4 linked regions of the Elephas maximus indicus genome follow. The protein of the gene in region 1 interacts with the protein of each later gene in a pairwise test. Links are inferred from orthologs where the notes say so. Each region holds a gene or a part of one and is shown in the gene's direction. Other genes may lie near its edges.

Region 1 (7,474 bases):
AAAATGGTGGATAATCACACAATACTGGGAATCATGGCCTATGCAAGTCGATGCACATTTTTGGGGGACATTTTTTAATTCAATCCATAACATCCACCTTGTGTCCCCTCCCCAAGAGCAAGGAGCTGTGTCTGTCTTGTTCAATACTGTGCCCTCCCTGCCAGGTACACAGTAAATTCTCTATAACGAGTTGTTGAATGAGTGAACGAACTACCCAATCCTGGATGTCTTAGTCATCTAGTGCTGCTGTCACAGAAATACCACAAGTGGATGGCTTTAACAAAGAGATATTTATTCTCTCACAGCCTAGTAGCTACAAGTCCAAATTCAGGGTGCCAGCTCCAGGGGAAAGTTTTCTCTCTCTTTTGAGTCTGGAGAAAAGTCCGTGTCATCAATCTTCCCTTGGTCTAGGAGCTTCTCCACGTGGGAACCTCAGGTCCAAAGGACAGGCTCTGCTCCTAGCACTGCTTTCTTGGTGGTATGTGGTCCCTCTGTCCCTCTGCTTGCCTCTGTCTCTTATATCTCAAAAGAGATTGGCTTAAAACACTATCTAATCTTGTAGATATCATCAATATAACTGCCGCTAATCCATCATAGTGATAGGATTTGCAACATATAGGAAAATTTCATCAAACGACAAAATGGTGGACAATCACACAATACTGGGAATCATGGCCTAACAAAGTTGACAGATATTTTTGAGGGACACAATTCAATCCATGACGGTGGGTCTGAACCATTCTTTCTCCTTCCTTGATTCCCAGGTCCTGCCTACCTCAGCTCACACCCCATCCCATTCTGAGCTTCAGTGTCCCTGTCTCGCCAGAGAGGAGTACTTAGAACTTTTCTTTTGGGAGTCAGGGTAAGAGGCTTGTGGTGGTGGCCCATGTCAAATGTCCCTTCTGGTTCTAAGGGGTCATGAGGTGCCCCAGCCTGACTGGACCATGAAGAGGCAGAGGAGGTCCACAGATATTGCTACAACCAGCCAGCAAGAGAATAAGAAGGTCTGTGGTTTCTGCAGTGGGGTGCCTCCCCCTCCACCCAACTCAGATTTGCATGCCAGTCTGGCCCTCACCATGTTTTGGCCCCACGTGTAGCCCAGTCATACCCCTAGCCTTTGCCTCTACTGCTCCTCCCAGCCTTGCTTTCTTGCTTCTCTGCCTGGTGAACTCCTGTTTGGCCATTAAGAGTTCAGTCTTAAAGTCACCTCCTCTGAGAAGCCCTCTCTGACCTCACTCCAGGTAGAGTTCTGGCACCTTCCTTGGCCTCATGCTCATGTGTCTATTTATAGCATCCCACATCAGGTTTTGTGATTCTTAGGCTGTTTGTCAGGCTCCCTGACTAATCCATAAACTCCTTGGGTGCCCGGGAGGCCTGCATTGGACTGGAGTCACTCCATGGATGGCTGTGGTATTCTTTCCTTTCTTGCTTTGCTCATTTCTCAAATACTTATGAGGCACCCACTATGTGCCACCCTGGGCTATGGCTCAGGAATGCAGCAGGGAGTGGGGTGGGCAACATTTTTGCTCAGGAGAGGCGGATGCTGTAAGGGAGTGAGCCAGATTAAAAAACAGTGAAGAAGACTGGCATTGGCAGGGTGGGTGCTGGGCAGAGAACAAACAATGATGTCAGGCCATGACTGGGGAGGCTGCTGGGGAGAACTGAGGGAATCATGGGGGAAAGATGCACCAGGCAGAGGGGACAGCAAGCAAAGGCCCTGAGCCAGAATCTGTATTGGTATGTTCTTGAGGTGAAATGACTAGCTCAAGTGGCCCATTTGAAATAGAATGCTCCAGGCCTCTTTCTTCCCTGAGCACCCAGAGTGGAACAGCCTGGATGGCTTCCTGTAGGAGGTGGCTCACAGTGTGTCCTTGAGCTTACCTTTCCTGGGCAGTTAGTGTGTGCCAGGCCCTGTGCCAGACACTTTCAAGCATGACTTCAGGGAGATCTTACTGTCCCTGTGGGACAGGTAAGTAAGCTGAGGTGTGGAGCTGTTCAGTGACTTGTCCAACATCTGGAGTTGGGAATTGAACCTGTGCCTGAGTCCAAAGATCAAAATTTTCCATCCCATTGCCTGGAAAGCGTATGTTATGGGTTAAATCGTGTCCCCCCAGAATGTCTGTCGATTTGCTAGCCATGATTCCTAGTATTGTGTGGCTGTCCACCATTTTGTGATCTGATGTAATGTGTTGTAAATCCTACCTCTGTGATATTAATGAGGCAGGATTAGAGGCAGTTATGTTAATGAGGCAGGCCTCAATTGAAGGTTGTATCTTGAGTTGATCTCTTTTGAGATATAAAAGAAAAGTGAGCAAAGAAGAGAGGGACCTCCTGCCACCAAGAAAGAAGCGATGGAGCAGAACATGTCCTTTGGACCTGGGGTCCTTGGGCTGAGAATCTCCTAGACCAGGGAAGAGTGATGACAAGGACCTTCCCCCAGAACCCGCGGAGAGAGAAAGTCTTCCCCGGGAGCCTGGGCCTTGAATTCAGGCTTCTATCCCCCTAGACTTTGAGAGAACAAAATTCTGTTTGTTAAAACCGTCCATTTGAGGTATTTTTGTTATAGCATCAGTAGATAACTAAGACAGTGAGCCAGAGATGCAGGAAGAGAATAATGATAATTATAAGGCTGCTTCACATCCTTCCTTATCTCATCTGGCCCTCCCCACTGGTGTGGGTGGGGCCCTGTGGGGTCGCCTCTGTTTTACAGAAGGGCAAGCAGAGGTCAGCCCCCTGCTCCAAGTGTTTTCAGCAGACCTGTCTGCTGGAGTCACAGGAGACCCCCATCAGGCAAGCCCACACCCATGCCTGCCCAGGGCAATGACTGACTCCTTTAACTTCTGCAGGGCCTTCCTGCCTCTCTAGCCTGTGGCTTTTCATTCTGGGCACTGGATGCCAGTGCCAGCTTGGTTGGTGGGGCCTGAAATCCCCTGAGGCTCCAAGTGGGAGCAGAAGGGAGAAGATCCAACCAGCCATTATAGATGAGCAGATAGGGCCCCAAGAGGGGAGGGGAGAGGACCAGGCCAAAGTGCAAGCCTGGATAAGAGCTTGGTCACGGCCTACTGAACTGAGTAACCCAAACCAAAAAACCAAACCCATTGCTTTCGAGTAGATTCCTGCTCATACCGACCCTACAGAACAGAGTAGAACTGCCCCATTAGGTTTCCAAGGCTGTAAATCTTTACGGAAGCAGACTGCCACATCTTTCTCCTGTGGAGGGGTTGGTGGCTTTGAACCAATGACCTTTCAGTTAGCAGCTAAGAACTTTGACCACTGGACCACCGGGGCCCCTGAACTGAGTAAAATGAATTGAGAGGTGCCACTCGACTCCCTTATACTCAGTTTCCCCATGTGTAGAACGGGAGAGGGGTCGGGTAGTAACGACAGCAACCGTTAAAGCTACTTTCCTTGCCTCTTAGCCAGCGCGGTGTCGCTCCCCCCGCACCCCTACACCCCACGTTGATACCGGCTGGAGGAGAGTGCATGTGTGTGGACGCGTGCAGCCCTTCCTATTCACTAAACAAATGCGTCCTGAGCGCCTGCGGACGCCTGTTCCGTCCTCGCGAGCAAAGCTCCGTGGCACGGGCTGCTGTCGCACTGTTTTACAGAGAGAGAAACGGAGGCTCAGGGTTATCGCCTGAGTCACCCCAGGTAATCCCCGCTGGAAAGGTGCAGTCAGGACGTAAAACAGGTTTCATCGGGGCGCGCTTTAGCCTCTCCACAACACCCTGTCTGCCGCCGCGCTGGGCCCCGGCCGGGTTGGCCGGCCGCGCTCCGAGATCTCAGGGTTTTCCCAGACAACACACCCCAGGTCGCGCCCCTGCACCTGGCGCGCTTGGGTAGGCTGGGGAGGGGGCGCTGCACGCGGGCTGACAGGTTCCCGGGAGGTGGGCGGGGCTTGGCTCTTGACAGGGAGCGGGAGGGTCCCGGCTCTGGACCCAGTAAAGCAGAGCCTGGCTGGGGCCTAGTTTCCCGGGCGGAGGGCGGGCTTGAAAGGCAGTGGGCGGGGCCTGATTCCGGGTGAACGGAGGTCTAGGCCTCTTGCTTGATAGACGGGGCGGGGCCTGGCGTCTGACGGGTCCCGAGACGCGCCTTGGAAACTGGTGGCCAATCAGCGCGCCAGGCAGGGCCTAATGCCGAACAGCCTGAGGCCGGGGCTCGGAGGTTCCCGGCGGGAAGTGAGCGGTGCTTGGTTCTTGACAAGCAACGGCAGGGGCCCGGCTTTAGAAAGAAGGGGGCGGAGCCTGGCTCGGCCCCGTTTCCCGGGTGGTGGGCGGGCTTGACAGGCAGTGGGCGGGGTCTGCAGCTGAACAAATGGGGGGGCGAGGTCTTGTGCTTGACGGGCAGGGGCGAACCTGGAGTCTGATAGGCTGCGGAGCGCGGCCTGGAGACGGAGGGCCAAACGGCGCGTGGGGCGGGGCCTGCGTCTCGGCGCCGTCTAGCTCGGCCCCTGAGGCTCTGCCCAGTCTGGCTACGGCGCCGCCCGCCGCGGTCGCGTCCTCCCACCGCCGCCCGTTTGCCCCGTCGCGCCCGGGCCGCCTGCCCGCCCGCCCGCAGCCATGAGTCCGTGCGGCCCCGACCGAGCCCGCCACCCCCTCGAGTAGGCCTCATCGCCGCGCCGCCGGCCCGCCTGCACCATGGAGTCGCCCGCCTCGAGCCAGCCCCCCAGCGCGCCCCAGTCCAAAGGTAGGAGCCAGCCGGGACCCGCGGTCGGATTCCCGCCCCCAGGCCGGGCCCGGGCCTGCCTGCAACCCTGGCCTCCTTGGGGGCCCACCCATCCGGAACTCGACAGCGCCTCAGGTTCTCAAGTCTGTCCAGTCCCGGATCCGACGCTGGGCTGGACCTCTTCTGACCCCCAGTGTGGACCTTGGGGCTGCACGCAGGCCTGGGAGCTCCCGGGGCTGACAGAGGCTGGGACCGCACTCTGACCCCCTCTCCTGTCGGGAATCGGGAACTCTCTCTGACCCGCAGAGTGGGCCTTAGGGCTGCATCCTGACCAGGGGACTCCCAGGCCGGGGTCCTTAGCGGGACCCAGGTGGGCCGCACTCTGCTCCCACCTGATCCCTTGGCTGTGTCCAGGTTGGTATTTAACTTTGATCCCTCCATCTGGACCTCAGTGAGTTCCCCTGCTGGGACCTTGCTGCATCCCCACCCCAGGCGGGTACGCTGGCTACACCTCAGCTCAGAACGGCCCCTTCACTGGCTGGCTCTGTCCCTGTGGGCCCCCACATTGCCCCATCCTCGCTGGCTGCACCGGGCTTCTCCCCAGATGCTTCTGCACCCTGCCCTACACCCCCCACCCTGCAACGCTGGTTCCGGAACCACTCTAGGTTCCTCGTTAATCTGTGGCCACTCTGAGGCCCCCACCCCCTCTGACGTTCGGCCCTTCCTCTCCTTGCTCCTATTGTACCCTCATGTGCCCGGCTCCACACTGGACCCATGGCTTCACTGCCAGGCACCAGGCTGGTTGCTGCCAGGCCTGTTTCGCCTGGCGGCCCGTGGGTCCTGGGCCAGCTGCCAGACCAGGGTGCTTACCTCGAAAGGGGCTTGCTCTGTCTTTTCCAAGTCGCAGGCCTTCCTGGAAATTTTTGTGAGGTGGCGGCCAGGCGGGATTTGTCATGCAGAGGGGGGAGGACGGGCCTGGAGGGCAAAAAGGGGATTTTTTTGCAGGAAGAGGAAAGGATGTTTTGGTGTGTCAGAATCTCAGCAGACTGGGCCGTGTGAGAGATTTCCAAACCGGACATAGTTGTGATGAATGGGCCACCTCCCCCAGCAGGCCTTTTAGTGCCTCTGGGCCTCAGTCAAAACCAGGGTAATCACACCTTCCTTCCACAGACGTGGCAGGGGGCACGGGTGCTGTGATGAGAGGTGATATATACATATGACAGTGCGTGTAAAGAGGTGGAAAATGTTGTGAAGAGCTCAGTGCAGTGCCCAGCACATAGTAGGTGCTCAGGAAGGGACAGGGCTGTGCGTATTTCTATTGTTGCAGTTTTTATTTTTAGAAAGGCCTCAGCCATGCAGGGTCAAGGACGTACCTCTGTTTGAATTGCAACTGTGGGGTGAAGCAGGTCACAGGAGCAGTTAGTGGTATCCTAATCAGTGCTGGAGGGGCCCGGGCTGTGGGAGGCTGTGTGGGGTCCGGGGGCGGGTGTGGCCCTGCCTGGCCCTGCTGCTGGTGGCTTCCATGGCTGTGGGCCAGAGCCCAGCTGGGTGGGCAGAGTAATTATGTCTTACATAAGTGGGAGGCTGGATCCCTGACCATTGCCCAACTGCGGTGAGTAACTTGGGAGGCACTCACTGGGGGAGGTGGCAGGGGAGGGGCACGCTCTGCACAGACCTCATGGAGCTTGGGAGCCGGTCAGCAGGACACTCCCCACTCAGGAGCGTGGTCTGGGCTGGCTTTGTCATGGCACACTGAGTTTTGCTAGCCTGTGCGCTCCTGGGTTGGAGGAACTTATCGGAAGCAATGTGTGTTTGGAGGCACTTTCAGCTATTCAAGGCAGGGGTGCCTCATCAAAATAGAAGTTAGAATTACAGGGCTGTGAAGGGAGAGGGGGCATGGGTGATGGGCAAAGGCCGGTGGGGAGGGACCCTGCTGGGTAACTTGAGGCTGACGCTGCCCTCTCTGGGCCTCTGCAGGGAGGCTAGGGTGTTGGTCTATCTGTGGATACAGGGAACAGGCGATGTGGGAGGGTTGGGCAGAAGGTCAGGGGCCTCCCCCATCAGCCTTTTTGGGGTTGGCACAGGATGTTGTGCCCCTTCTCTTTTCCATGTGCCATGCACCCTCTCATTTATGCTTCTCAGCCTGCGACCTCATTTTACAGATAAGGACACTGAGGTTTGGAGGCATTAAGTGCCTTGCCTGAGGTCCCCAAGCCAGGATGGTTGGAGCCAGGATTCTAGCCAGGACTGTGTGTCTGCTGTGTGGTCTCCCCCATTTGCCCCCACACCCCATTCTCATGCTGGATGCTTGAGCCCTGTGTCAGGGGGCATCTCCTCCTGGCCAGTCCCAGACGTGGAGCACAGAGTGAGGCAGAGGCCTTGCCTTTGCATGCATGCACAGCCCTTTACAGTTGGCACATGGCACACTCACTGCAGTCTGACTCATTTGACAGATGACACAACTGAGGCCAGACGTAGGAGATGCTGGACTGAATCCACAAGGTTGGGGTCCTGACCCAGTACCCTTCACATCCTGGGCACAGGGCCCCTAGCACTGAGCTCTTCTCAGTTTTCTCAGAAGAGCTGGAACAGAACAGGGAGGGGTTGGCATTTGACCTTGAAAGAGCTTTACCTTTGAGCTTCCGTTTCACCCTCCCTGTACTGAGATTCTCTCGGCGCCCTGCTGGTGGAGGGTTTTCCATGAATGCAGAAGGTCCCCCGACCTCCTTGCCCACATATTGCTGTCTTTCTGGCTGGTGGCTCTCGGGACAGTGTGCAGGGGCACGTTTCATAGCACGGCCTGGTTTGC
Region 2 (7,478 bases), about 19 Mb from region 1:
GCAAGGTTGGGATGAGGAGAACCATGAAAGCTGTTCTTGAAAAATAGCCAGTTATTTTCTGGTTTACATTGGGAGCTCTGGTGGCACAGTGGTTAAGCGCTAGGCTGCTAACCGAAAAAAACCGAAAGTTTTGTTCAAACCCACCTTTTTGCTCTGCGGGAGAGAAATGCGGCAGTCTGGAAGCCCTGGCCAGCAATTCTACTCATCTTGTAGGATAGCTATGAGCAACAGGTTTGGCTTGGGTTTATCTTTGGGAGGGGACCATTCTTTTGTTTGAGAACGGGAAAAAACAAATTGCTTTAATTATTTTGATTTTGCAAAGGTAAAACTGCCATTCCATTGAGAATGAGGGTGGAAAGAGCTATACTCCTCTGCATAATAATGGGGAAGGAAGCCGCTTCTGGAAGGTTATCCACAGGGATAACCAGAGGGGGTCCGAGACCCAGGCTTAAGGATTTCCTTTCTTCTCAAGGAGACTTCAGAGATGCAGAGGACTTGGGCTTCAGGTGAGGGTGGATGGAGGTCAAAGGTCGGCCAGTCTCCTACTCTGGCCACTGTCTAGCAACTCAGGGGAAAAGGGCTTGCAGGTGAGGTGGGAACTGAGCCAGGTGGGGACAGAACTATTGGGGGGGTAGGCTTGAGGTGAGCCACTGGGGAACCTACTGTGTGCCAGGCACTTGAGATAAAATGGTGAGGTCTGCAGGCACAGTTCCTGCCTTTCAGGAACTTCAACATCATTCACCTATTTACACAATTAATCTTTTAGTTACAATTCTGGCAAGTGTAGTGAAGACAACAGGCCCTGAATAATCACAACTAACATTGCAAAGCAAGCGCTCTGTGCCAGGTAGTGTTCTAAAGGTTTTACACACTGACACGTCTACTCTTTGCACCAATCTCTTGATCTTGGTACTATCCTTATACCCATTTTACTGAGGAGAAAATGAAGGCACACAGATGGAGTAACCTGCCAAAGTCGTGAGTGCTGGTGCTGAGATTTGAGCCCACATGCCTAGCCCCACAGTCTGTACTCTGGGCCACTTCACTCCTGCTTCTCCAAGTTCACAGGAGAGAAGGCATCTAAAGAGAAGCTGGCAAGCCCAGGGGGCTTCCCTGAGAAGGTGCTGTTTGAGCTAAGACCTAAAGATGAGATGGATCTAACCAAGAGGAGGAAGGACACTGCAGGAAGAGGGAACCGCAGTTGCAAAGGTCCAGGGGTAGGGTGAGAACGAAGAAGAAGTGAATGAAGCCTTCATATGGAGACGGGGCCAAGTCAGGGGAATCTTTATATAAAGAGCTATGGGAAGCCATTGGAATTTTAGAGAAAGTGGTTGATGTACTTGAATTTTAAATATTATTTTGAAAGTTGTGCAGAGAACGAATTGGAGGGGGTGGAAGAAATCGCCTATCCGCTTCACAGCAACTGCGCAGAAGACAAAGAGGTCAGGCTGGGCCAAGATCTGCAGAAGGCAGCCGGCCCCGACTGTGGGGTCTTATTCCCTGAGGGCTGAAGAGCAGGGGGTATTGCGGGGTAAGGGACTAGAACTGGGAAGCCTGGCCAGGGGCGAAAGAGGCGGAGTCTGAAGGGACGTGCAGTAGGTCTTGGCGGCCCGGGAGTGGGCTGACCCGGTAGACCGCACAGCTGCCGTCGAGTTCGGGCGCGGGGCCCTGGTGGGCGGGGCGCTCGGCTGCCAGAATTAGGAGGCGGGGCGCTGGCGGTCCGGCGGCCACGCCACTGTCAGGATAGAGCTGTTGCAGGTGGGGCAGATCCCTGGGGGCGGGGCCCTGGGGGCGGGGCTCTGGGCCGCCCGCGGCCACGCCGCTGTCGCGGGTGCATTCCTGGCTCTTCGGCCCGGGGCAGAGAAGCGCCCGGGCTGAGTCTGCGGGCTTCGCCGGGCGTGGGGTCAGGCTGGCCGGAGCCGGGAGCGGAACCGCGGAGACGTCAGGTGAGCCACGACCCTGTGCCAGGAGCGGGACCCCGGAGGCTCGAGGTGAGCGGGGACCCTGTGCAGGTCCAGGCTGCGCTCCCAGCCGCCAGGGGGCGAGCGGCGGCAGGGCCCCGGGGGCTGCCCCTTCCCAGCTCCGCGGACATGGGCGTCCGGTCGGCGGGGGGTGGAGGGGGCAGTAAATCAGTAACCCGCAGCGTACACAGGGCCTTTTGTCCCGCTCCGTCCAAAGAGCACCCTGGCCATGGAGCTGGTTACTCATTGCCCACCCGGGCGAGGGCAGGGGCGAGGGCGAGGGTGAGCCTGCCATCACGGGACCCACCAACCCGCCCCTCCCCCCAAGGTGGCCCTGGAGGACCATCTGCGCTCCCGGTTTAGGGATGAGAAAGCTGAAGTTCTGAGAGATGCAGTTACTTGCCCAGGGTCCCCAAGCGCGTGAGTGCAGGAGGAAGGAGGAAAACCCGAGTATGCATGATGCCAGAGGTGGGCCCTTGGCCCCTTGTGCCAGCTGCCACCTCTGGTCTGGGAGGGCGGTCACAGGCCATGAGTGAGTCCCACTGAGGGCTCTGCGGTCAGGACAGCTTCGGGGTGGAAATAAAACCTCCGGGGCCTCCCTACCCCACTCCCAACCTAAGCTGTGGACCCAGGGAGCTGCCATCCATGCAGAGCAGAGTGGGGTGAAGGGCTTTGATAGAGAAGGCATTAGTGAGCCTGGGGGGACGGTGGCACAGAGGCAGTGGCATCGGAGCCAGGTGGAGAAGGGCAGAGGTATGGGCTGATGACTTTAGTGGTTCTCAAAGTGGCAGAAGGTGAGGCCAACAAGATTGGCATGAGCAAAAAAGGAGGCCTAGGATGCTGGATAAACAGTGTGGGCTTGATCCTGCAAGCCACAGGTAGCCATTAAGGGCTTGTAAGCTGAGGGGTGACATGCCAGACTTGAATTTTTGAAAGTCCTGCTGGAAGGTGGAGGCTGAAGAGCTCAGGGAGATGTTGCAAGGGTCCAAGCAAGAGATGACCATGACCTGGCCTGGGTCGGAGCAGAGGAGGTGGGATGGACTGGAGGGAGGTTGAGGAGAACATCTAGGATGTGGGGTGTGGTGGACAGGGTTGATGCCTGGGCTGCTGACTCTGTGAGGACAACCCAGGGAAGGCTCAGTCTGAAGGGGAAGATTATGTCTTTGGCCAGAACAGATTGAGTGTCCCCCATCCCAGTCCCAGAGCTGGATGAGGAGCAGTGGCTGAGGAGAGAGGGTGCAATGGGCTTCCTGGGCAAGATAGATCCAGAGATACCAGTGCACTTGGCTGTTACCCAGCCCCAGGTAACAGCCACTAGGCCTCTGGGGCTACAATGGTCACCCTATTCCCCTGACCTAGCTGAGGCTCTGTTCTGAGTATTCCTTTTGGGGTACAGAGATATCCTGGGTGCAGGAGGGTAACCTGGATGAGGAAAGTGTGTATATCACTCTTGACAAACAGCACCAGAAACGGAGATGACTGGCTGAAGGCAGACCCAGGGTAACAGGTGAACAGTCACCTATATGGACTGGAGGGAAGCAGGAAGAGAATATTCCAACATACGATGTCCCCAGTCTCTACATACATTGTCTCTTTTATCCTCAAAGCAACTTACATAAGAAAGTGGTCCAAAGAGGGACAGGGACTTGCAAATTTGTAAGAGTCAGGATTTGAACATGGCTGTGTCTGACATTACAGTCTACATTCTTTATAAAACCCTGTGTTGCCTTAGATGGAGTTGTGAGGGGACAGGAAGCAGAGGTATCCCCAGGATGCAACTCTGGTTCAGAATAAGAATTTGATCCTTGGCATGGGGTGTGCTGTCTTGTTAGTAGTGAGTGCCCTGCCACTGGAGGCATCCAGAGCCAGTCATGGAAATGTCAGCAATGCTCTAAGGACTGCGGGTCAGATCAGACAACTTCCAAATGCTGAAGTTTTGCCTTGTATTATATTTCAGATTTTTTTGGCTCTTCAGCAAAAAATTTATTTATTCAGCAAAAAGTAAATTATGTGCGATGAAAGCGAGCAGAAGATGTGTCTCCATTCTCTACTTCCCTCCAAGCAAAGAATCCCAAAACTGTTCTTTCTGTGAGCTTGTGCCAGGGTCCCAGCAGGACCCGAGATGAGCAGGAAGCCCAGCCCCACCATCCACACAACCTGCTGTGGGGAGGCCTTGGGCTCTAGCAACATCAGAGCTGGCTCCATTCTCTGCCCTGTTGTGGCCTGGCTGGGGGCCTAGACAAGTCTGCTGACCATTTCCTGTCTCAGTTTCCTCATCAGCAGAGTGGGCATGTGTCACAGGTGGGTGTGTATCAAGAGCTCCTCTCCCTCCCTGTTTCAGGAAAGCAGTCGGTGTGAAGCCCAGCCCGGGTCTGAGTGAGCAGCAGGAAGGAGATGTGGCTACTGTTGGCCCTGTTGGGAGTCCTCTTGGGGGTGCCCAGGGCCCCAGCCTTGTCCCTTGAGGCCTCTGAGGAAATGGAGCTGGGTATGGCCCTGAGGGGGGAAAGGGTGGCAGGGGTGGGAAGAGTGGGCACAAGGAGGGGACTGCTGGCTGAGCAAGGCTGGAGAGGATCCTGGCTCAGGCCCTGAGGGGATGGTGGCAGGGCAGGCCCAGCCATTGAGACTCAGTGTCTGGCTCCCAGCAAGCACCTACCTATCTCTGTGTCCGAGAGCAAGGAGGGCCCTGTGGGGCGGAGGGCCCTGAGCTGGGCTGCAGAGCTGGTGGTGAGCCCCTTGGCTGTGTGTGTGTGAGTGTGTGTGTGCTGTGCACTGAGTGTTGGCATGGGAGCATGTGCAGTGTATACAGTATGAGTGTGATGTACTCCAGAGGCGTGCCCTGTGTGTGGCACCTACAGCATGTGCCATGTGTGTCTTGGGCAGTGTCATGTCCAGCATGTATGGACGTGCAGTACATGTGTGATGTGCCCCTGAGGTATGGCATTTGCCCTGTGCGTAGTACCTGTGGCATGTGGCTGCGTGTGTGTCGAGGAACAGTGGCGTGTCCAGCATGTGACACGAGATGCTTGTGCCCTTTGTGTGCAGCATGTTCTCTGTGTGCAGGGGAAGGGCCCAGTGGGCCTGCGGGGCTCACTGATTTCTGCCCTCGGCCCACAGAGCCCTGCCTGGCTCCCAGCCCAGAGCAGCAGGAGCAGGAGCTGACCATGGCCCTAGGGCAGCCTGTACGGCTCTGCTGTGGGCGGGCTGAGCGTGGTGGCCACTGGTATAAGGAGGGCAGCCGCCTTGCACCAGCCGGCCGGGTACGGGGCTGGAGGGGCCGCTTGGAGATTGCCAGCTTCCTGCCCGAGGATGCTGGCCGCTACCTCTGCCTGGCACGAGGCTCCATGCTTGTCCTGCACAATCTCACCTTGGCTGTGGCTGGTAAGAAGGTCTGGCAGGGAGCGAAGGACTACCTGAGGAGAGAGATGCCCCACCTGGACCTCAGATGCCACCCTCTATCACTGATGCAGACTCCTTGACCTCCAGCAGTGATGATGAGGACCCCAAGGCCCACAGGAGCCCCTCAAATGGGCACGTTTATCCCCAGCAAGGTCAGTATGAGTCCTCGAGGACTTTTCTCACTACTGGAGAAGAGACCTGTGTCGGAGCAGGTGGTCATCCTGGGGCACTAAGCTCTCCCTCCCTTCCTCACCCCTCCCTTCCAGCACCCTACTGGACACACCCCCAGCGCATGGAGAAGAAGCTGCATGCGGTGCCTGCAGGGAACACCGTCAAATTCCGCTGCCCGGCTGCCGGCAACCCCACACCGACCATCCGCTGGCTCAAGGACGGACAGGACTTCCATGGGGAGCATCGCATCGGAGGTATTCGGGTGAGTCTCCAGGTTCCAAGACCATCTGCTCACTCATTTTCATTCCTTCATCTGTCCCCTCATACCTGTAAATCAAACCCACAGATTCTTCTCTAATGAGGAAGGCAACTGCCTGACCCCAGGATGAGCCAAAAACTCTGGACTTGGATGGTTCTGGTTCAAGTTCCCAACTCTGCCACTCGCTGGCAAGTGATTCCGTTCATAAACTGGAAAGAGTCACTGACTGATGGGTCTAATCAGCTTTATTAGCTCTCATTCTCATAACAAAACCCCACAGGGCCACTCCGCTCAATAGTGAGAAAACTGAGATTCAAAGAGGTTAAAGACAGGCTCAAGGTTTGCACAGCTGGGGTGAAGCAGAGCTAAAACTCAAAAGATTCAAACCTAGAGCTCCGGCAGTTCTCAGAGCCTTCTCCTCTGTCCAGGGTCCCTGGCCTTGGCCTGGCCTCTCCAGGGCTTGCAGAGCTTGAGATGAGCCCTTTAGGCAGGATCTATCCTTCCTGTGCCCTGGCCCCGGTGGTGCGTGGGCTGTGGCCCCTCGTGGACACTTCCCCTACCCCCAGCTGCGCCACCAGCACTGGAGTCTGGTGATGGAGAGTGTTGTGCCCTCAGACCGTGGCACATACACCTGCCTCGTGGAGAACTCTGTGGGCAGCATCCGCTACAGCTATCTGCTGGACGTGCTGGGTGAGCGGACTGGCAGGGGAGGTGGGGTGGTGGGGCCTTGACCTGTCTTGGGCCCAGTCCTGTCCTTGGATAGGGCCTGGCCTAGCAGGCAAGATGGGCTTGATCTTAGATGATTAAAGCAGCTCAAAGTGACCAGGTGGGTCAGATGGAAGCACAGGGGCAGTGCGGGCTTAGAGAAACAGGGATCTGTGGGGCGGAAAAGTAGGGAAGGCAGCCCAGCAGAGGGCAGAGGCTGAGTAAAGGCCCCTAGGTGTAAAGACCACAAAGCATCTGGGTGGAGGTACGTGCCAGGGGTGTGGCATTTAAGTGAGGAGCCAGACCAGGGAGGGTTTCGAATGCTAGGCTGACAAGTTGGGCTTTATCCCAAGGGCACTGGAGAGCCATAGAGGGTTTAAGCAGGGGGTGGACAAGGTCTGAGCTGCATGTCAGAAAGGTCCCTCCTTCGAGCCAGGGGGTGCCTGGAGGCAGTGAACAGGGTGCCTCTGTGGGTGCCACTGGTCAGGGTTGACGGCCCGGCCTGGCCCCCAGAGCGGTCCCCGCACCGGCCCATCCTGCAGGCAGGGCTCCCAGCCAACACCACAGCCGTGGCAGGCAGCGACGTGGAGCTGCTGTGTAAGGTGTACAGTGACGCCCAGCCCCACATCCAGTGGCTGAAGCACATCGTCATCAATGGCAGCAGCTTCGGTGCCGACGGCTTCCCCTATGTGCAAGTCTTGAAGGTGCGGCCCTTGCTAGTGCCTGAACCCTAACCCGGCCCCCATCCTGGGACAGCCTCCAGCTTCCCTCCTACCCTTGCCACGGGTGGCCCCAGGCCCTACTGTGCCCCCTGAGTATGTCCCCCGCCCCCAGACAGCAGACATCAATAGCTCAGAGGTGGAGGTCCTGTACCTGCGGAACGTGTCCGCCGAGGATGCGGGCGAGTACACCTGCCTGGCAGGCAACTCCATCGGTCTCTCCTATCAGTCAGCCTGGCTCACGGTGCTGCCAGGTGAGCACCCAAG
Region 3 (7,376 bases), on another chromosome or scaffold:
TAATTTATGGAATTGTGGGACCCAAATTCTACTAGCTTTATATTTCCCAACGCCTTTCTACTTGAGGACTTTTTTTTTTTTTTTTAATCACAGGGCCCTGCTGTCCTCCTGGGACTTCCAGAGGACAAGGCCCTTTCTTCAGTCAGGATGACCTAACCAAGAGCCAGCCTCCATCACCTCCTGGCCACAGCTGTGTGTTGGAAAGCTGGCTGGCTGAGGCCCCTAATAAAGAGCAGACCTCCCCATCTCCTCATTCCCTCCCCCATCCCTCACATGAGTTTTCAAATTAAAAGCAACTGAAAACTAAGTCCTGAGGAGAGAGGGAAGTAGGAGGCACAAAAATATCGCCAGACTGAGGAGGCCAGGAAAAGGTATCAAAGAAATCCAGATCCAGTGGAGGGCCAGTCCAGCCACATCTTTCCCGGGCTCGTGAGTAGCCTATGGCCCCCTTGCTGGGCTGAATCATAAAACACAGTTAACAGCTTGGGTCCTTAGTTAGGTCAGTTAGCACGCTATGGTGCTAGGAACCCCTCAGTGAGGGTGCTGCTGGTCATGATTCTCTTCACTGGAAACTGCTTTCTACTACTTCTCTCTGCAGAGGGGATGGGGTTCAAGGGACCCTGAAGTGGCGCTGTGCCTTTAGATCCAGTCAGCAGACAAGGAGGAGTGGAGGTGTGTGAGGGGTCCCAGAGAGAGGCTAACTGCTGTTCCAAATTACCCACCAGCCTGAACCCTTCTGGAGAGGTTTTCTTCCTCCTTCTCCATGACTTGGGCCTCTCTGAATTCTGAGCGTGCAAAGCGGTACAGAGCAAGCTTTGGAGCCTTAGCTGAGGCAGGCCCCAGGCAAGGGCGGAGCTCCTTCCCACTTCCCCTGGGGACCCTCACATCTGTGCTCCACATCCACAAGCTCCTCAGAGCCTTCTTGGCCAAGGTCCCTTCGCAGGGCCCAGGGAAGTGGCTCCTCACGCGCAGTCAAGAGTTGAATGGGGGAGGGAGGGGTAGTTAGTGCCGTTTTCTTTTGCAAACCACCAAACTGCTTTTTATTTTCAAATGGCGAAGCCAGAAACCTACCCCGCCCCTATTAACTCTTAAAAAAAAAAAAAATTGCAAGTCTGTTTAAACGTCAATTTCACAACAAGGATTTTGATAAAGAAGCCCTGGTGGCAAGTTTAAGCGCTGGACTCCTAACCGAAAGGTCGGTGTTTGGCCCACCCAGCGGCTCTGAGGGAGAAAGACCAGGCGATCTGTTCCCCAGTAGGACTGGTGCTTCAGGATTACAGCCTACAAAACCCTATGGGGCAGTTCTACTTTGTCACATGGGGTTGTTATAAGTCAGAATTGACTGGAGGGCACCTAACAACAACAATCACAGGTCTTCTAAAACAAAAAAACCTTCTGGAATCTCCGAGGAAAGGAGAATTGGGGGCGGAGCTGGGGGGGGTGTCGGAGCAGAGGAGAGCAGACAAAAAGCCAACTCTGCGGGAAACGCCCACGAAAGCCAAAGGTGGGACGCTCCTAGGAATTGGACCTGCGAGCCCGGGAGGCAAGGCAGGGAGAGGTTTCTGTTTTCAGTGATCATTTTCATTTGTTTGTTAAAAAGTTTTCAGGGCTCTCGTTTTGAAGGCTGGCTCAGCTACTAAGTCTCCTCTTCCTACCTTTGCAATCGATTTCGTGTGGCCTGCGGGCCTAGCCATGGGAGGCCAAAGTCAGAACCGCTGCGCCCCGAACCCCACCGCTTTCCCAAATTTCCCTCTGCTCAGCTCGGGAGTTGAACCACCTTCTCCTCCGGTCGCTGTAGCCGAACTCCCAGTTTTCGGAGAAAACCCTCATTCTTAACGCCTTGATGCTCTCGCAAGGAGAAAAAGCATGAGAAAATCTGGGTGCAGGCCGCGACCTTTGCCAGCAGCCCAGGCCAGAGTTCCTCACCCCTCCCTCCCTCGGGGCAATGGCCCGCCTCCGTAGCCCGCCTCGCCTGCGCGGCTTCTTGCAGGTTTCTGCTCACGGGCGTCGGGGCAGTAATCTGGAAGGATTTTAGAGCAACACGGAAAGAGGGCCGCTCGGCTTGCCCATCTTCCTTGACACCACCGCTGAGCGATCGACGCAGACCTGACCTCTCGCGAAGCCGCGGACCAGGCGCGTAGGGCGGACACTACATTCAAACCCGCCTATTAGCAGTGGGAGGGGCGGGGGAGCGGGATTGCCGGGCAGGACGGGGTTTCTGGAACGAACAGCCTCTGTTCCAGGGCCTCCTGCCCCGAGGTTGCTCCTGACCACTGGGTTTATTTTGCTTTTGCAGGGGAGGCAGATGTTGACCTCTCTGTCTTTGCTTGGTCCCGACTAGGCGAAATCTGCCCCCAACCATTTGCTTCCCTGCGCCACCCCCCACCGGCGCGCTATCCCCGGAGCCAGCTCCCCAGGCCTTTAAACCGTCGAGAATGTCACACATGGAAGCCTTTAGCAAATGTTTGTTAATGATCATAACAAAGGCATCATTCAAATTAGGCAGGTAATTACTACCAGAAGGACAACTGGGTGCTCGCTGGCTCATCCATTCTCTGGGCTCTAAAGGCGAAGAGTTACGGCCCGAAGAACACCCCCCTGCCCCGCCCGCCTAGCCTGCTTTTCGGGCTCCTTTAAGCGTCTCTGAAATGAACTGTGAAGTTACTATTTGTGGGCGGGGAGCGCTGGGGCCCGGCTTGCAGGAGACCCCGGCCGATCCCGCTGGCAGTTTCCCGGCTGCAAAGCAGACCCTCCTGGGTAGACTCCCGGCCTCACCTCCTGCCCTCTTGAGCACCTGGAATAAAAACCTGGGTCTCAACTTGTCTTCAATAACAGCATGAAAGCCACCCCACTTTTTTCCTTTGTTCTGCTTTCTGCATTTGTTTTGGGGGTTCGTTAGTCTCTGTTCATTATCTACAAACATTACGGTATCCTGTTAGCATTCCGAACAAGGGGCTGTTCATATATTTGCCTTCAATGATTTCCTGAAGGAACATGTGGAAGTAATAGCGGGCCCGTGCAGTCACCCGAGCTGAAGATGCACGAGAGGCGGGCGTGCAGAAGGGCCGGGGGAATGGGGCCCCCAGCCCAGCCCCAGGCGCCCTCCTTCCTAGCCCGACACCCCAAAAGTCTGGTCCTGTTAAACTCAGCACCCTCCCTGCCCACTGCCTTGTGCCCACCCTCCGGGTTAGGGAAGAGGTGACAGCTGTCCAAATTGCCATCCTCATCCGGGCTGCTCCAGCAACTCTGAGGGTGTGCGTGTTGATGGGGGAAGAGGGGTATAAAGATCACCCCTACTCTCCCAACAAAAGAATTCAAAATTAGAGAAAGCAGGGAGGTGAAAGCTCTCCCCTCCCCCGCGCTCGCTCGGAAGCCCCGCTCAGCCTAAGCCTGGTTCCTGGAGCGTCAGCGCCCCCTTTCCCTCGCGAGCAGGATGGTTCTCTCCCGTCTCAGTCTCTTGCCTAGCGCCTTAGGCGCAGGATTTGGGGCTCCGCTCTCAACCCTAGGGCTTTCGTAGGGTCTGACCTACTAAGGTAAGGGGGCACCGGTGGGGTCAAAACGCACCCACCCCCAGGACGCAGAGAAGGCAGGCTTGTTGTAGACGATCCCCAAATGTCCAAGCGTGTGCCTTTTTGTATTCGAGAAAGAAGACTGGGTCACCTCGCCCAGATAACCCCGAAAACAAAGGCATGACAAGATAAGTGGCTCCATGGGAGTAAAGGTCTTTCTGCCAGAGAGATATCCAAATTCACACAGACCCTCGATTCTTTCTAACCCCTTTCAGACCCAGTCTTTTAACAAACCATCATCGTCATATGGGACTATAGAGTTTGCCTAATCCCATTAAAGGATTAGCAAGGACACCGCACTTTTCCCAAAAGATACCAGGTTCAAAACGACGCAACCGCTTGGAGACTCCATCTCTAGTTGCACCAGGAGTTTCACCAGAAGGGACATTTCTAGATTCCAGATTTATATTCTTTCTGGCCATTAACTGCATTTTTATGTGTTCTTTTTCAAGAGAATACAAAACAGTAGAGCAGCGGAGGTTAACATCCCCCAATTCGGGAGGCAAACTCATTCTGGAAATGATGGTCAGTTTGTATTTTCACGAAACCTCTCTCCCTGCAGAGCATCAACACCTCCCCTATCCACCACCCCCACCCCATCTGGTCGGCTTCTCCCCGCCCCCCAGTTGTTGTTGAAGTCTGGGGGGTTGGGGCTGGATCCCCTGACTGTGTAAGAGCAAAAGCGAAGGCGCAGTGTGGAGGCTGGGACAGTCAGAGTGCCTAGAGTTCGAGGGAAACTTTTATTTTGAAGAGGCCAAGGGGGGGGGGGGCTTCATTTTCTGACAGCTATTTACTTAGAGCAAATGATTAGTTTTAGAAGGATAGACTATAACATTGAATCAATTACAAAACGCGGTTTTTGAGCCTATTACAGTTGGAGCTAGAGGGAGAGAAAACAGGAGGGAACTGCAGGAGAGGACTGGAGACCGTGGACACACTTTTTACTCCATGTGTAGGATTTTCATTGCGGATTGACATAGGAGGAGAAGGTAAGAGAGAAGAAAAATGATTTTTATTTCTAAGGGAAGCCCTTGATCAGACTGTGGGCTGGAAGAAGTGAAGTAACTTCTCTCGAACTTTGTGCGTTGAGAGGAAAAAAAAGGAGTTGAATTCCAGTTATGTGTCTAGAGAATAATTTATTCTGAATAAACCTTACTTGGGGAGAAGATAACCATAGAGTTAGAAAGTCTGGGGATTAAAAAAACACATTTTCCAGACCTATTTTTAAAAGCAGTGTTTTTCCAACAACCCTACGGCCTCTCAGAGAAATTGTTTAGGCTTACATTTTTGAGGTTTCTTTTGGGGGGTAGGGGTGGTTTTCGTGGATACTAGGACGAGCACCAAATCACCCTGGGGGTGAGGGCAGAGGTGTTTTGCCCTCTTCTTGGCAATGGGTCCTGGAGGGCGACAGATTTTTTAAATGAATATTTTCATTCCTCCCCCGCGGTTTGGCGGGACAGCACTGGAACCCGCGCTGTGGAGCGCGGCTGGGAAACGAAGGGAGCGAAGAGGCCGAGCGAGACGCCGGGAAGGGGCTTCGGGGGCCGGAGAGGCGTGAAGGGCTCAGCTGGAGGAGGGCGGACCTGGGATGCCGGCCGGGTGCACATGGCGCCGGCCGAGCGCGCGTAATTACTGGACGGCGCTGCGCCCAGAGACAGTCGGGTCCAGTCTCAGCACAGCTGCGGCGGCTGCAAGACGAGCAGAGGGGGCGCGGGCTTGGGCGAGGGTTTGGGGCGCTTCCCAGCCATTTGCCGGGTCAAAGAGGTGAGAGGGAGAGAGGGCGCCAGCCCCGCAGTGCGCTTGGGTTGCGGGGGCGGCAGCGGCGGCGGCGCGGACTTGCGGTCTGGAGTAATGACAAACACATTTGGCCTCGAGTGAAGAAGTCGTCGTCGCCTCGCATTCCAGCAACTGGGATTTGAGGAATTTAGAGTTGCGCTCCTAGAGGCTCTTGTTGTGCGCGGTGGTCTCCCGCCCCCACCCGTCCCTGCACGCTCCCCTCCTCCTTTGGAACCGATTCTGCAAAGCCTTGGGCTTTGCTGCTGGCCAGTCCCGGCCTCAGGAAGCAGAGGGAGGTCTCCAAAAAGTGCTGGATTTCTTGTGGGGAAGGAAGTTAGGGACGTCTCGAAACGGAAAAACTTGTTTCCAGGTAAGACAGAAAGGTGGGAGGCGACCATTTTCTCTCCTTCCCTCGGGGCACCGGAGTCCTGGAGCGCCCCCCCCCCCAGCCCTCTGTGCTCCTCTCCGCGCCGGTTGCGTGGCACTTGCCGCCTGCGCGCGCCCTGCGCTGCTTCATACTCTTCAAGTGCCCTTCTTTCTTAGTCCCCTCTTTGCGCTTGCGTCCCCGCCTGCATCGGAGCCTCGCGCCCCTCCTTTCTCCGCCGTCTATCCCCTTGGAAGTTGACTTTTACGTGTGAGATTAACTTCTCCTGCAGCGCCAGGGGAGCGGGCGGCGTCCACTTGGCTCCGAAACAACTGGGCTCAGCGGCTCTGTGCGGAAAGTGTCTTGGCCACCTCGGAGCGAAATAGGAAGCGTGACCCGACTCTCTTCCGGCTGCCCGAGGCAGTCAGGAGCCCGAGAGGCCCAGCTAGGTGTGCAGAAGCTGCCGGTTGGCGTGGTTCTGAGTCTTGGCTGGGAAGAAAGTGCTGTGTTCGTCCATTGTCCCTCTCTCCCGCAGCCAGAACGCGCGTCCCACACTTCGCGCCCCCAACCCCGGCAACACTTAAGGATTGGCAGAAAGAGTGCCTGGGAGAACTTGGCACTTACTTCTTCTCCAAGGGTGGGAGGCAAACGGGGCTAGGGAGAGACCGTGGATGGCCTCTATCAAGTCCAGGTCGCTCCGCGCCGGGCCCAGTCCCTTGGAAAAGTCCTGGGCTGGGCGGGATGGGAAATAGCTTTTTTGGCTTCGTGGCCGAATTGCTCAACGTTTTGGACCGACTCGCTTCACTGCGGTCGCTCCCTACCAGAACTAGGCAGCTTTTTGGAGTAGTGGAGGCATCTAGGGCAAATGGAGCACAACAGTCCTCAGCCGCACAGCGCGCGGACCAACACCCTAGCCTAGCGAGACCCGGGTCCGTCGGAGGGGAGGAAGGGGCACCCCGGCGCGCACACCTCACCCGCTGCTGCGTGGGGTCTTGTCTTTACACCCTTTCCCACTTAACCGACTTGTACCCTGGTGCTGTTGCATTGAGTCCCCTCCCCCTTCCTCTCCCCTCGGCCTCCATTCCACAATCCTTTCGGTGAGGAGCCCTTCCTGGCTTCTTCGACAGGCGAGAAATGGTGGAATTGGGGGTAGCGGGGAGCAGACTAGCCTCACTTTGACTCCCTGTTCAGTCGCTGCTTGTAGGCTTTGCACAGTCCTGTTCTTGGCTTGACCTAAGTGCAGCTAGATTTTAGGCTGGGGGGGGGCGGGGAGGTGAGGGGGCGGGGAGGAAGATGGCAATCGGTCGCGGAGAATGCGCCTGCCGCTGACCCCCAGTGCCTCGGTCTCTTCGCCAGCTCTTAAGCTGATAGGGACCCGGTGCAGAACCGGGGCTCCTGGCTCACGGCCCGGGGACGCTTTCCTCCCAAGGCGCGGGCTGAGGAGGGGTGCAGGGGGAGGGACATAGGGCCGGGCTTTCCAGCTGCAAACGCGTCTGGCGCCGAGGCGGGCGGTTTTGCGCCTCCTGGGGACGGGACGTGGGCGGCGCGCCGCGCCCGGACGCGTCCTGGGGACGTGGTGACCAGAGCCTTCCTGCAGACCCTAGCGGGCGGGACTCCCTCCGGCCTCCTGGGAGCTGCGACCTGGTTACATATCACTGGTGGGAAAC
Region 4 (7,103 bases), on another chromosome or scaffold:
TTGAGCTCCTTGTTGCAGCCACTGTGTCAGTCCACCTCGTTGAGGGTCTTCCTCGTTTCCTCTGGCCCTGTACTCTCCAAAGCATGATGTCCTTCTCCAGGGACTGATCCCTCCTGACAATATGTCCAAAGTATGTAAGATGCAGTCTCGCCATCCTTGCCTCTAAGGAGCATTTTGGCTGTACTTCTTCTAAGACAGATTTGTTCGTTCTTTTGGCAGTCCATGGTATATTCAATATTCTTCGCCAACACCACAATTTAAAGGTGTCAACTCTTCTTCGGTCTTCCTTATTCATTGTCCAGCTTTCACATGCATATGATGCGATTGGAAATACCATGGCTTGGGTCAGGTGCACCTTAGTCTTCAAAGTGACATCATTGCTTTTAACACTTTAAAGAGGTCCCTTGCAGCATATTTACCCAATGCAATGCATCTTTTGATTTCTTGACTGCTGTTCCATGGCTGTGGATTGTGGATCCAAGTAAAATGAAATCCTTGACAACTTCAGTCTCTTCTCCGTTTATCATGATGTTGCTCATTGGTCCAGTTGTGAGGATTTTTGTTTTCTTTATGTTGAGGTGCAATCCATACTGAAGGCTGTGGTCTTTGATCCTCATTAGTAAGTGCTTCAAGTCCTCTTCACTTTCAGCAAGCAAGGCTGTGTCATCTGCATAACGCAGGTTGTTAATGAGTCTTCCTCCAATCCTGATGCCCCGTTCTTCTTCATATAGACTTGATTTGTAAACTTTCACTTAAAGCAGAATAATTAAAAAAAAGCAAAGTGCAATAAAATGAGGTACACTTGTGGTTACAGGGCTATTCAAAATATCTATTGCACAGTGGTTCAGTTGCGGTTTTTTTAAAGTGATCTATTTTGTATAAATTGTCAAATTTACACGTGTAAATTGTTCTTAGTATTCTCTTATTGGAGCCTTGATGGTACAGTGGTTGAGAGGTCAGCTTCTAACCAAAAAGTCACCAGTTTGAATCTACCAGCAGCTCCTTGGAAACCCTATGGGGCAGTTCTTCTCTGTCCTATGGGATTGTTATGAATTGGAATTGACTTGATGGCAACGGGTGTGTTCCATTATTCCTTTTTGTGTGTTCACGGTCTGTAACAATATCCCTGTTTCATTCCCGATATTGGTGGTTTGTGTATTTTTTTTATTTCTTTGAGACTTCCCTTTTGGCCTACTGGTTATTTAGAAGTATGCTGTTTAGTTCCCAAGTGTTTGGAGATATTTCTGTGATTTTTCTGTTTTGATTTCTAGTTTGATTCCTTTTTGGTTGGAGAACACACTCAGTTCTCTTGATATTTTACTGCCCAGGGTATAGTGTAAGTTCTGTGTACACCTGAAAAGAATGAGCTGAGTGGAGTGTTCCTATAAATGTCAGTTAGAACTTGTTGATTGATGGTGCTGTTGAATTCTGTATCTTTGTAGACTTTATTTCTAGTTGTTCTATCAGTTGTTGAGAGAAGGTTATTGAAAGTCTCCAACCATAATTGTGGTTTTGTCTCTTTTCAGGTCCTTCGGTTTTAGTTTCACATATTTTGAAGCTCTGCTGTTTAGAATTTGAGGAGCCCTGGTGGTACAGTTATTAAAGTGCTTGGCTGCTAACTGAAAGTTAGCAGTTTGAACCCACTAGCCGCTCCGAGGGAGAAATGTGGCAGTCGGCTTCTGTGAAGATATACACCCTTGGAAATCCTGTGGGGCAGTTCTACTCCGTCCTAAAGGGTCACTAAGAGTTGAAATCAACTTGATGGTATGGGTTTGGGTTGTTGAGGATTTGGGATTGCTGGTGGATTGACTTTTGTTACTATACAATGTCCCACTCTGTCTGTAGTACTTTGCTTTTTTTGAAGTCTACTTTCTCTGATTATTATTAATATAGCCATTCCTGCTTTCCTTTGATTATTTGCTTCATATATCCTTTTTCATCCTTTTGCTTTCAGCTTGTCTCTACCATTATACTTAAAGTGAATTTCTTGTAGGCAGCCTAAGTTGGGTCATATTTTTTAATCCACTCTGCCAGTCTATGTCTTCTAATTGGTGTATTTAGATAATGTACGTTTAATATAATTATTGATATGTTAGGACTCAAGTTTGCCATTTTATTTTTGTTTTCTGTTCCTCTTTTATTTTTCCCATCTTCCTGTGGGTTACTTGAACTTTTTTTTTTTTTTAAGAATTCAGTTTTGGTTCATATATTGTGATTTTCAGTGAATCTCTTTGTATACCTTTTCTAGTGGTTACTGTAGGTATTACATTATATATACATAGCTTTTCACAGTCTACTGTGTGGTGATTTTACCAGTTTGTGTGAGGTATAGAAGCCCTACCTCCCTTTAGGACCCTTTACCCTCCTGTTTATAGTTGTCTTAAATATTTCCTCAAAGTTAATATTTTTCAACCATCAAATTTAATTTAGAAAACTCGAGAAGAAAAGCCTATTGATTTTACCCATGTTTTTTCCTTTTTAAAAAAAAATTTATTTTTATGCTTTAGGTAGAAGTTTACAAATCAAGCCAGTTTCTCATACAAAAAGTTATACACACCTTGCTAGGTACTCCTAGCTGCTCTCCCGCTAATTAGCACATTCCTGCTTTCCACCCTGTATTCCCCGTGTCCATTCAACAAGCTCCTGTCCCCCTCTTCTTTCTCATCTCGCCACTAGACAGGAATTGCCCACATATTCTCATGTGTCTACTTGAGCCAAGAAACTCACTTCTCACCAGTATCATTGTCTGTCTTATAGTCCAGTCCAATCCCTGTGTGGAGAGTTGGCTTCGGGAATGGTTCCAATTTTGAGCTAACAAAGGGTCCGGGGACCATGACTGTCAGGGTCCCTCCAGTCTCAGTCAGACCATTAAGCCTGGTCTTTTTATGAGAATTTGAGATCTGCATCCCACTCTTCTCCTGCTCCATCAGGGACTCTCTGATGTGTTCCCTGTTAGGGCAGTGATAGGTGGTAGCCAGGCATTATCATCTAGTTCTTCCGGTCTCAGGCTGATGGAATCTCTGGTTTATGTGGCCCTTTCTGTCTCTTGGGCTCATACTTACCATGTCTTTGGTGTTCTTCATTCTCCTTTGCTCCAGGTAGGTTGAGACTAATTGATGCATCTTAGATGGCCGCTTGCTAGCATTTAAGACCCCAGACGCCTCTCACCAAAGTGTGATTTTACCCATAGTTTTGCTTACTATGTCTTTTTTAATTCCTGATACTACTAAGTCCTTCTTTTATCATTTCCTTTCTATTTAGAGAAACTATTTTGGCCATTCTGTTAGGATATAGGTCTGCTGGGGACAAATTCCCTTCTTAGTTTCCCTTCATCTGAGAATGTCTTGATTTCCCCTTCATTCCTGAATGATATTTTCATTGCATATACCATTCTGTGTTGGCAGTTTTTGTTTCAGAACTTGAAAAATACTGTGCCACTTCTTTTGGCCTACATGGTTTTTGATGAAAAATCCTGTCCTTAGAATTGTTTTTTCCCTGTAGGTAAGATATCATTTAAGGTATTGTCTGGCTACTTTCAAGATTTTTTTTGTCTTTGGTTTTGAGAAGTTTAATTATGATGTATGTTGGCACGGATTTCTTTGGGTTTATCCTTTTTTGGATTTGCTCAACTTCTTCAACCTGTAGGTTTTTGTTTTATCAAGTTTGGGAAATTTTCAGAGATATTCTTCATTCTCTACTTTCTCCTCTCCTTCCAGGACTCCAATAACATGAAACTTTTGTTAAAGCCCCACTCATCACTGAGGCTCTGTTCAATTTTTTTTTCAGTGCGCTTTCTTTCTCTTCAGATTGTGTAATTTCTGTTGTCCTATCTTCTGTTTCACTGATTTCTCTTCTTTGTTCCTTTCATTCTGCTGTTAAGGCCTTGTGCTTTCTATTTCAGCTATTGTGTTTTTCAGTTCTAAAATTTCCATTTGCTTCTTTATATCATCTGTTTCTTTGCTGAGACTTTCTATTTTTTCATTTGTTTTATGTTATTTTGCAATTGCTCGTGGAAGCATTTTTATCATGGCTCTTTTTAAAATCTTTGTCAGATTATCTTAACATCTGTGTTATCTCGGTGTTGGCATGTATTGATTGTCATTTTTCATTCAGTTTGAGATTTTCCAGGTTGTTGGTCTGATGAGTAATGTTTGATTGAAACCTGTTACGCAACACTGGATCTTATTTCAACCTTCTATGGACTGCCAAGAGAATGGACAAGTCTGTCTTGGAAGAAGTGCAGCCAGAATGCTTCTTAGAAGTAAGGATGGTAAGACTATGTCTTATATACTTTGGACATATTATCCAGAGGAATCAGTCCCTGGAGAAGGACATGTGGTTGGTAAAATAGAAGGTCAGCGAAAGAGAGGAAGACCCTCAACCGGATGGATTGACACAGAAGCTGCAGCAATGGGCTCAAGCATAGTAACAATTGTGAGGATGGCGCAGGACTGGGCAGTGTTTCGTTATGTTGTGCATATGGTCGGTATGAGTTGTAACCGACTCGACGGCACCTAACAACAACAACAACAATTTTAGCTGGCTTTCGCTGACATCACTTTGGCAGGGAAAGAAGGGAGTGTAGCCACATTACTGCTACTTGGAGGTAGAAGCCTGTGGCCTCTGTTGATTTGGGGAGGGGGCTTCTTGTCACTCCTGGGTGGGGATGTGCGTTCCTGCTCCTCATACTGTCTCCACTGACATCATGATGGGAATGGTTTCGTCACCACTGGGCAGTGTGAAATTCTGACTCTCCACTGTGCTTCATCTGACACCACCCAGTGGAGGGTTGGGGGATGCGCAGTACTTCATGACTACTGGGTGGGGGTAGAAATCCAGGTTCTCCATGTGATCTCCTTCGACATTGTGGGAGGTGGGCCTTCATTTCCAACCAGTGGGGATGAAAATTCTGGGTCCCTACTTGGCTTTCTCTGACATCATCCTGCGGAAAGTATTGGGGTATGTTATTACTTCCTTGTTAGGGTGGAAGTGTAGGCTCCCTACTCAGCCTTTGCTGGCATGGGTAGAAGTAGGACCACAGTTTTTTTGCGTGGGATTTGACTGAAATTGAGTGGTTACTACCTAAGAACTTTCTCTTCTGCTAGACTGCCCCTTTTCCTGGTCCGTTGACTGTAGAGAGCAGGCTTTTGTTTTTGTCTGTACCCCATGGGTATTTCCAGGTTGTCGGTTTCTTCAGCTTCAAGTCTAGGACATACGAGGCAAAGAAAAAACCCAGGGGAACTCACTACCGTGCCATTCTTTGAGTAGTGAGATCCCTAGCTGGCCTGCATTCTTCCCACCTTTAAAAGTCGTCTTATGTTTCTTTTATATATAATGTCCAGGATTTTGAGTTGTACTTATTGGGAGGAATAGGGAAACATATGTCTACTCCCATCATCCTAGGAGCAGAAGTCAGTGTATGACATTAATAGGAAAGTTTTGAAAAATAAATTAATGGACAACGGAGGGCTTTTTCCTATTAGATAATGAAAATGTACTATAAAGTTGCTATAATCGAAAGTGTTCAGTGCTGGTATATGAACGGGAAAATATATTAGTACGGAATGAAAGTCTAAAAAGACAGTAAAAAATCTATAGAAATTTATGGTATAACAAAAGAAAAACTTCAGATAAGTGAGGAAAGGATGTTCAGCAAATGATGTTGAAATAATTAGCTACCCATTTGGAAGAAAAATATTTAGAGCTCTTGTTAGGTGCTGTCGAGTTAGTTCCGACTCACAGGGACCCTTTGTACAACAGAACGAAACATTGCCTGGTTCTGCATCATTCTCACAATTTTGTTGTGTTTGAGCCTATTGTTGCAGCCACTGTGTCAGTCCATCTTGTTGAGAGTCTTCCTGTTTTTCACTGACCCTCTACTTTACCAAACATGATGTCCTCCTCCAGAGACTGGTCCCTTCTGATAACACATCCAAAGTACTTTAGATGAAGCCTCGCCATACTTGTTTAGAAGGAGCGTTCTGGCTGTACTTCTTGCAACACCGATTCGTACATTCTTCTGGCCGTCCGTGGTATATTCAATATTCTTTGTCAGATACTATAATTAAAAGGCATCAGTTCTTTTTTTCAGTCTTCCTTATTCATTGTCCAGCTTTTGCATGCATATGAGGTGATTGAAAATACCGTGGCTTGAGTCAGGTGCACCTTAGTCCTCAAAGTGACATATTTGCTTTTCAACACTTTAAAGAGGTCTTTTGCAGCAAATTTGTCCAGTGCAATGTCTCATTTGATTGCTTCACTGTTGCTTCCATGGGTGTTGATTTTGGATCCAAGGAAAATAAAATCTTTGACAGCTTCAGCCTTTTCCCTGTTTATCATAATGTTACTTATTGATCCAGTAGTGAGGATTTTTGTTTTCTTTATGTTGAGCCATACTGAAGGCTGTAGTCTTTGATCTTCATCAGTAAGTGCTTCAAGTACTGTTCACTTTCAGCAAGCAAGGTTGTGTCATCTGCATGTTGCAGGTTGTTAACGTGTCTTCCACCAGTCCTGATGGTGCGTTCTTCATACAGTCTATTTTGTGGGATTATTTGCTCAGTATACAGATTGAATAAGTATGGTGAAAGGATACAACCCTGACACACACCTTTTCTAATTTTAAACCATGCAGTATTCCCTTGTTCTGTTCGAATGACTGCCTCCTAGCCTATGTACAGGTTCCTCATGAGTACAATTAAGTGTTTTGGAATTTCTATTCTTTGCGATATTATCCATAATTTGTTACAATCCATACAGTTGGATGCTTTTGCATAGTCAAAACACAGGTAATGACTGCTCTGACAGGGAACATAACAGAGAACCCCTGAGCGAGCAGGAGAGCAGTGGGGTGCAGACCTCAAATTCTCATAAAAAGACCAGACTTAATGGTCTGACTGTGAGACTAGAAGGACCCCGGAGGTCATGGTCCCCAGACCTTCTGTTAGCTCACAACGGGAGCCATTCCCAAAGCCAACTCTTCAGACAGGGATTGGACTGGACAATGGGATCGAAAATGACACTGGTGAAGAGTGAGCTTCTTGGATGAAGTAGACGTATGAGACTATGTTGGCATCTCCTGTCTGGAGTGGAGATGGGAGGGCGTA

Evidence for each region.
Region 2: the proteins of MAP2K3 (region 1) and FGFR4 come close enough for resonance energy transfer, tested with the Homo sapiens proteins (2 studies listed by BioGRID). The link is inferred for Elephas maximus indicus from reciprocal best matches to the Homo sapiens genes MAP2K3 and FGFR4.
Region 3: the proteins of MAP2K3 (region 1) and PDGFRA come close enough for resonance energy transfer, tested with the Homo sapiens proteins (2 studies listed by BioGRID). The link is inferred for Elephas maximus indicus from reciprocal best matches to the Homo sapiens genes MAP2K3 and PDGFRA.
Region 4: the proteins of MAP2K3 (region 1) and ARNT come close enough for resonance energy transfer, tested with the Homo sapiens proteins (2 studies listed by BioGRID). The link is inferred for Elephas maximus indicus from reciprocal best matches to the Homo sapiens genes MAP2K3 and ARNT.

What each region holds. Positions count from the first base shown.
Region 1 is NC_064820.1:216,261,534-216,269,007, reverse strand, and holds the start of MAP2K3 (dual specificity mitogen-activated protein kinase kinase 3), read left to right. Parts: upstream 1-4,464; 5' UTR 4,465-4,637; coding exon 4,638-4,686; intron 4,687-7,474. UniProt on the Homo sapiens protein: Dual specificity kinase. Is activated by cytokines and environmental stress in vivo. Catalyzes the concomitant phosphorylation of a threonine and a tyrosine residue in the MAP kinase p38.
Region 2 is NC_064820.1:197,382,649-197,390,126, forward strand, and holds the start of FGFR4 (fibroblast growth factor receptor 4), read left to right. Parts: upstream 1-4,477; 5' UTR 4,478-4,750; coding exon 4,751-5,339; intron 5,340-5,428; coding exon 5,429-5,509; intron 5,510-5,623; coding exon 5,624-5,790; intron 5,791-6,353; coding exon 6,354-6,477; intron 6,478-7,005; coding exon 7,006-7,196; intron 7,197-7,326; coding exon 7,327-7,465; intron 7,466-7,478. UniProt on the Homo sapiens protein: Tyrosine-protein kinase that acts as a cell-surface receptor for fibroblast growth factors and plays a role in the regulation of cell proliferation, differentiation and migration, and in regulation of lipid metabolism, bile acid biosynthesis, glucose uptake, vitamin D metabolism and phosphate homeostasis.
Region 3 is NC_064823.1:107,360,402-107,367,777, reverse strand, and holds the start of PDGFRA (platelet-derived growth factor receptor alpha), read left to right. Parts: upstream 1-4,374; 5' UTR 4,375-4,558; intron 4,559-5,032; coding exon of another isoform or gene 5,033-5,176; intron 5,177-5,631; exon of another isoform or gene 5,632-5,715; intron 5,716-7,232; exon of another isoform or gene 7,233-7,376. Other genes in the region: uncharacterized protein LOC126076748, read right to left, coding at 1,778-2,149, 5,033-5,176. UniProt on the Homo sapiens protein: Tyrosine-protein kinase that acts as a cell-surface receptor for PDGFA, PDGFB and PDGFC and plays an essential role in the regulation of embryonic development, cell proliferation, survival and chemotaxis.
Region 4 is NC_064821.1:184,929,048-184,936,150, reverse strand, and holds the start of ARNT (aryl hydrocarbon receptor nuclear translocator), read left to right. Parts: upstream 1-4,086; 5' UTR 4,087-4,197; coding exon 4,198-4,270; intron 4,271-7,103. UniProt on the Homo sapiens protein: Required for activity of the AHR. Upon ligand binding, AHR translocates into the nucleus, where it heterodimerizes with ARNT and induces transcription by binding to xenobiotic response elements (XRE).